2 linked regions of the Arabidopsis thaliana genome follow. The protein of the gene in region 1 interacts with the protein of each later gene in a pairwise test. Each region holds a gene or a part of one and is shown in the gene's direction. Other genes may lie near its edges. The genes, in order: AT4G00780 and AT1G67860.

Region 1 (4,490 bases):
TCAGAGCTTGAACGCGGAACAAGTGAGCAGAGGAGACAAGCATGTGCTAGAGAAATCGAAAGACGAGACTGGAATGAGAAACAGATAGAGGAGGAGCACGAAGTGGTGGTTACACAGATTGAGGAAGAACTCTTCAGCCTGTTAATGGACGAAACTTTAACAACGCTCTCTACCAAAACTGATTCCAGTCCACCTGAACATCACAAAACAGTAACATCAATGCTTAAGCTTTAGAAATTAGAAAGCAAAAACATTTTTGAATAAGGCTTTGACTTAAAAGCTCAGGTTTTTTTAGCTCTACTTTTGTAAGAATGAAGCAAACGAATAATACAATGTATATTGACCTCTAAAACCATATATATATATATGCCTAATTCATATTTCTGCAAAAAAAGATCAATTTTTAGAAGCTAAATCCATGAACGAGTTAAAAAGTGACCTCATTCGAAACGAGCAAACAACATAACAGAAAATAAAAAGGTTAAACTTAAGAAAATGTCATTCGCAGGAATAATTAAGCAGCAAGCGTGGATTCGCGATCGCAGCCATTGAAATTAAAATCCCTAAATCAAAGCCTATCTATGGGTCTGCGAAACAATGAAGATGGAATTGAAAAATAAACCGATAGAAGAAACTGGAGAAGAAGAAGAAGAAGTAAATTGAAAAAAAAATGGAAAGAAGAGGGAAATAAGTTGGAGACGTTACCGGTGGTCTCTTTCCAGGTTGGTGAAGAAGCTTCCGATATGTTTCTCATGTTTTTCGCTAGTCACTGAATTTATAGATGACTAATGGACTCATTATATTATCTCACGAAGCCCATTGTGTTTTTTAGAGTCAAGGAGCCCAATTGTTTTTCTTTTTCTTTTGATAAGGGAGGAGTCCATTTGTTTTAGTCTAAGGTGAGGAAATTTGGGTATTCGGGTCGGGTTTGGATCGAGTCTTTCGGGTTCGGTTTAGAAGTTTAAGACTGGTTCGATTATACGTATTATTTAAGCTATAGGTTCTCTTCGGGTATAGGTTGAAGAACCCAATAAATAACCAAAATTATTTTGGGTTTCAATATTATTTACCAAAACCTTGTCCAGATATACCCAAACATATATAAAACTATCCATAAAATTATAACAAGTTTTCCTTTATTACAATAATAAAAAACAAGAAATAAACCTTGTTTTTAACTTGTTCCATAATCCAATCATTAAACAATTCACAAACTCAAGTTATCAGTATATATGTCCTCATATGTATATATATGTTCGGGTAATAAAAAATACTCACGGATATCAATTTCGGTTCATGTAATACCTGATACCTGAAATTATTTGAGAACAGAACCCGGGTATTTTACAAGAAGATATGATAAGACCTCGTTTGCAAATCTCAGTCCATGAACTCGATTTCTTTTTTTCTTAAGGAACAAGTTTAACTATCCAATACTGAATATACATCAATTCGGTACTAAATGTATAGTAGATACGAATTTCCTCCGGAATGACTCAGAGAACAGTGAGAGATTAGTAGATAAGATACTTAACTTTTGGGGAGAGACCTCAGGACCCATATGACTTGAAGACTCACACCAGCTCTGAAGTTAGACGGGTTTTGGGTCTCCGGGTCAAGTTTAAAGAAAAAATGTTAAAGTAGATTTCCCTTTCTACTTTGGTTTGAGATGAGTTTAGAATTTAGTTCGATGTTACGAACGTGAATATATACCCAAAACTTGTGATGTATATAAATGCTTATCAATCTCGAATCTCTCTGTTACTGTAGCGTGTAATCCACGTTTGAAGTTTTTGTTCGATTCGATAAATGTTGGAGCCAAAACAGAGACATCAACAAAAACATGGGATCCCAATGAATAAATAGATAAACTCTTGTCTGTCTATAAATAGACTTACATCTTCAAAAAAGATTTGTATAAGTCTCCTCCACTTAAGAAGATATCATTTGTAGCTTCTTACAATGTCGCGACCAATCCCCATTGAAGGTTAAATAATAAACATAATTTTGTGTCTTATCTCTTTAGTCTTTATACAAGTTCTTATAATAATTTTCTCTTCCTCACAGAAATGGTGAGGCTGTTCAAAATACGTCACACAACATCTCACTTGTTCAAGATAGACAACTTCTCTTTACTCAAAAAGCATGGAATCGAAAAGGTCGAATCCTCTGTTTTCGATCTCGCTGGTCACAAATGGTGTGAAGCTTTTTGATCTTCTTATTGACATACAAAAGAAAACAAAGAAACAGTAGATGATCATTAACCTCAATATATCGTTCTCTTGGCTTGTTATGGTAACAGGAAACTCTCTGTGTACCCAAATGGGCATAAGAATGCTAAGGGGACTCATGTCTCCATGTTCTTAGTGAATCAAGTTCCGGTAAATGATATGCCTACATATGAGCTCCTAGTCGTCAGTCAACTAGAGCGAAAATGGCACACCCATGGTTTCTCTCTTTCTCTTTCTCTCTCACTCTCCTTGAATCATATATATCTGTGTGTTTGATGTTGATGTGTTGTTATATGAGCAGGACGAGATGAGTTTGATATAAATCCAGAACCAGCTAGTGAGGGGTTTTTAAGGTTCATATCTCTTGCTGATCTTGAGAGAAAAGGTTTCCTTATTGGAGATTGTTGTATGTTTGGTGTCAAGTTTCATGGGATTGAACCTGCTAATCCCGGAACAGCAGAGTGTTTTAGCTTAATAGAGAAGCCTCTTAACCACAAAGTCACTTGGATGATGAGCAAGTTCTCGTCCTTCAACCCTGGAAAGGCTCATCAGTCTAATGAATTTGTCGTTGGAACCAGGAAATGGTAAATATATATTGATTCCAACGACTTCTTTAAAAAGACACAACAATATACTAATGAAAATGCATCACAATATATAGGAGACTTGAAGTTCATCCAAGAGGGTATATGGATGAAAAAGACAAATCATTTTCTGTGTATCTATCAGCAGAAGGGTTTGTCAACAATGCACCAATGACAAAAACTTACGCCAAGTTCAAGCTGCGGGTATTGGATCAAGTTAGCTGGAATCATGTTGAGGAATCAGGTATATATATAGGATCCATCTTTATTAGGAGGAATTTGTTTTGGAAATTTAGTCTTGTGATGGTAAAATACTAGTAGTAATCTTTTATTTTTGTAGGTTTGAGCTGGTTTGATGCAGAACCTTCGGACCAAAGTGGCTTTGCGGATTTCATGCCTCTGGGGAAACTAAATGAACCTTATTTGGTAAAGGATAAGCTTTATGTGGGAGTTGAGTTTGAAGTCGTTTCTACCACTTATTACTGTTAGCTTCTAGGCTGTAATAAGTCTTATTGTGAGCTAAAAATAACAAGAAATGTTATAATGTATTGAATAAAATGTTGGAGAATGTACCTACTGAGACTTGGAGGTGGAACTACATTGACCTAGTCTTAGCCAAAGTCAGATTTCTCTTTTTTGTCGTTCGTATAAATAATACAGTTTGCTTCCAAGTTTCACTTTTGTCATCAAAGTCAGACTTGCAATTAGTTTTTAAACAAATCTGTCTTGAGGGTAAAAACTGCAGATGAAAATCAACAAATCCAAGCTATAAAAGTAAGAGGATGAAATTGTCGTCACATGATCTCTTCGATGGATCAAAAAGATAAGAAGAAGAAAAAACAAACAATTCCTTGTCAAGCAAGCATCAGATTAAAGAAAAAAGACCTTTATTCTAATTCCATGTTGGACCTTGAGATCTGATTCACACACTTTATGTTTATCAGGAATCTTATCCCAAATTGATTGAATAATTTATGCTGAGAATACATCAAAGACTAGCTATATAATATAAGATTCTTGACGGCATCAAATCAAAGAATCTTGTCTTGAGGGGACCAACTATATTAGTGAACTTTTTGAACATTGGTTATATAACTAGTTTTATTACTTTTGGTACTATACATCAAGTTAATAAAGTTACTAATTTTCCTAGTTACAAACCATATAATAATCTCGACCAATCTTTTTTCACCTTTCAGAGTACAGAGCACAAGTGGTGGTGCTGACGGAACGCTTAGTAGGTGCTGGCGGATACATTCTGGTTCAGCATTTAGTTAATTATCTAAATAGTAGTCAATATTGTAAACTAAAGCTTTACCATGGGAACTCAAACTGGTTGTTGATGAATAAATAGTAGTATATTTGTGTATATATAGTATATACAACATTAATTGTTGATGGTTCTAAACTCGTTGAGACATCTTTACATTGGAGATGGTCTTAGGGTCCTAATCATAATCCCAATTACCAACTCTTGGCCTATTAAAGAAAAGATTTACCAAATGTTGACCCAAATATCGATCCTTTTGTTTTCGGCTTCTTACCCTGTCCGGTTTTTACAGGTTTTGTGTCTTTACCGCTACTCTCTCCCGGGGTAAAACCCGAGAGCCTGCTCACTTTTTCATGGTACACAGCCGGAGGTGCAAGCCTTAATCGAGGCAAGCTCTCTATCTGT
Region 2 (2,996 bases), on another chromosome or scaffold:
CTTTGCAAGCATTAGATGCAATTTCCATCATAACGATTGAAGAGACCATTCCACGAAGGAGATGGGCCTTACACTAAACTTATCCACACATCTTTTCTAATGTTCGTTACTAGTATTGCTGTCAAAACATGCCTTTTTGGACTAAACATTAGTTGATACACATACAACATCTATTTTTGAGGGTCTATAGGGTCTGATTTTTTAAAGAAAACGTGTCCGTAGACAGAAACCTCCTTAGTTTGGATCTTTCCCATGTGATCATTATTAAAAACGACGAACGGAATTAGAACAAACATATCTATTCAACTTTCGGTAGTGATGGTACTAAGAGAATAAGATTCAGATCATAAAAAAGGGAACTATATACAAGAAATTTTTTCTATATATAGAAAACATCTGAAAGATTAAAACACTTATCCATATCAAAGAAAACTAACACAAGTAGATAAATATAAAGAAAAATGCTTGATAAGCTTATTATTGGGGTTGCCGGAGGGATTACCGGAGGGATTCTTGGAACGGTCGATGGGTTTGCCAAAGGGGTCGGGATATGGCCCAATAATTATCAGAGCACCGGTCGCTTCGAGAACAACAATATGACGAGTCCGGGAAACTACGGCAATGGTAATGGCGGTGCAGTGAAGGCATCCGAGAACTCCGGCGGCCGCCGCCAGAAAGACAGGGAGTAAAGGACTCCTGACCACACCCAGTAATGATTATGTATCCAAAATAATAAATGTATACGATGTATGTATAAGATGGACATGTTTCAGTATCTTACCAAAAATATAGGAGACTTTTAATGAAAAGTCTTCTTGTTTAATTTTATGAACTTTATGATTAATAAAAGGAGTGTGTTTAATAAAAGTGATGTATATTAACAGTTATTTCCACACGTGAAAAGATTGAATTTATTTGCACACAATTAAGTTTGAAAAGTAACGTTATGGTGTAACGAAAACCCTAATGAATTTATAAGTTACGTAGTGCAGTAGGATATGTCGTTTTAATGTTTCTGGTTCATCTAAATAATTAGATAATTTATTTTGCATTTATCGACCAAAACTTTAAGCTCATAGATTTGATTCAAACAAGTAATTCATTTACTAAATTAGACGGATCATAGGATTTTTTGTTGATTCGATTAGCCTTTTCAGTTATGCAATGTTCTTGAGGGAAACACAAACACAGATAGCATATTTGGCGACAGCGTCTGCCTTTTGAATTGGAAAGACGAGAAATATAACTAAAGGAGATAGAACGGAAACAACCTTGAAGCTGTCGAATTTCTTGAAGAATTCCATGAATGTCATTGATAGAGTTGTCTACACTTTTATCTCAAAAATCAAACGAACCTTACACAAGCAATGTTTTTTTTTTTTCCAATAATCAGAGTCTTCCTAAATCCAAAGTCTAGACTAATTCTTGAACTTAATACTAATAGAAATGTTTTCTTGCAATTTACAGCGTTATGGAGTCTAAGTTGAATAGTTAGATTATTACACTTTTATAAGGCTTTATTTTCTGGCCTAGAACAACGACCTGAATCTTCAACAAGGGGAAACTTTAAGTCCACTTCCACTTGGAGAGTCTTCAAACTTTGCAAGCATTAGATGCAATTTCCATCATAGCGATTGAAGGACCATTTGAGTGACAAGTAAGACGGGTCGTGTATGTCCATAGTTATCTTGTTTTCCACTTTCTTTCCATCTACTTCACGAATTTTTGTGATCGTTGAATTTTTTAAGACGAACGGAATAAGAACAAACATGTCTATTCAATTTTACGTATGGTGGTGGTAAAAAAAAAAGAATAAGATTCTTATCATATCATGGATATCATATGACGAATAATTGCCATAACAAACAAACTTAAGTGAACACTACGAGAATTGTATAAATATATACAAACATCTGAAAGATTGTAAGCTCTTATTCATATCAAAGAAAAACAACAGAATTAATATATAAAAATGCTTGATACGCTTATTGGAGGGATTGTCGGAGGGATTGCCGGAGCGATTATTGGAACGGTGGATGGGTTCGCCAGAGGGATCGGAATATGCCCCGATAGTTACCAGAGCTGCACTCGTACCGACTGCGAGGAGCACAAAAAGAAGCTCCCGACCAACCTTAGCCGTAACGGCGGTGCAGCAGCAGTGAAGGCTAAGGAGAACGGCCGCCGTCGCCGCCAGAAAGACAGGGAGTAGAGGACTCTAGACTACCCAAATATTCTGACGGTTCAAATAAGAAAGTAACGATTATGTACTCCCCATATAATAAATGTGTAAGATGTATCATGTATTTGTGTGACGGACTTTTAATGAAAATAAATGTTCTTGTTTAAGTTTTTTTTTTTTTTTGTCAGCGTTCTTGTTTAAGTTAATAAATCATTTATCATATTACATAAGAAATATATATTAGATCGGTATATAAATTGACTTTAATATATATTTATCGACAAAATTTGAAATGAATATTTAGGAAGTATATTATATCTCATTGAACTATATATATAGAAAGAGAAAACGAAAAGACTATTTACGAAAATGATTGGATTAAGATATGTTGTTTCACGATGAAGACAAGGGAAAAAAACCCTCAAGTTACATGCTTTAATGTTCATTACATGAATCTACTTGTTAAAATAACATAAGTACAAGTGAGTTAAGGAACAAAGAAAACTAATTACGTTAACTAGAAAAGATGGGTTTGTGCGTAGACTTGTATTGGAATTTTCATGTGGATCACAACTATATAGGTTTTCACAACAACTGGTTATTTAGTTGTCTTCCTCTTATATACACTAAATATATTATCTCTCACATTGCTCAATAAAATTAATATATGTTAAAATTCGAAAACATAACACCAAAAAGTATGTAATATCAGTAATTTTTTTAAAAAAATACAAATAACACTAAAATCATGTATTTATTTTTGTTATATATGTGCAGTTTATAAAATTATTATTATATTATTAGAAACTTAGATTTA

Evidence for each region.
Region 2: the proteins of AT4G00780 (region 1) and AT1G67860 interact in a two-hybrid assay, tested with the Arabidopsis thaliana proteins (one large-scale study listed by BioGRID).

The regions. Positions count from the first base shown.
Region 1 is NC_003075.7:332,817-337,306, forward strand, and holds AT4G00780 (TRAF-like family protein), read left to right. Parts: upstream 1-1,756; 5' UTR 1,757-1,962; coding exon 1,963-1,987; intron 1,988-2,067; coding exon 2,068-2,197; intron 2,198-2,302; coding exon 2,303-2,448; intron 2,449-2,532; coding exon 2,533-2,815; intron 2,816-2,892; coding exon 2,893-3,059; intron 3,060-3,155; coding exon 3,156-3,304; 3' UTR 3,305-3,662; downstream 3,663-4,490. Other genes in the region: TRM9 (DUF4378 domain protein), read left to right, coding at 1-234; SETH5 (transducin family protein / WD-40 repeat family protein), read right to left, coding at 4,298-4,490.
Region 2 is NC_003070.9:25,444,153-25,447,148, reverse strand, and holds AT1G67860 (uncharacterized protein), read left to right. Parts: upstream 1-1,791; 5' UTR 1,792-1,972; coding exon 1,973-2,209; 3' UTR 2,210-2,397; downstream 2,398-2,996. Other genes in the region: AT1G67865 (uncharacterized protein), read left to right, coding at 462-689.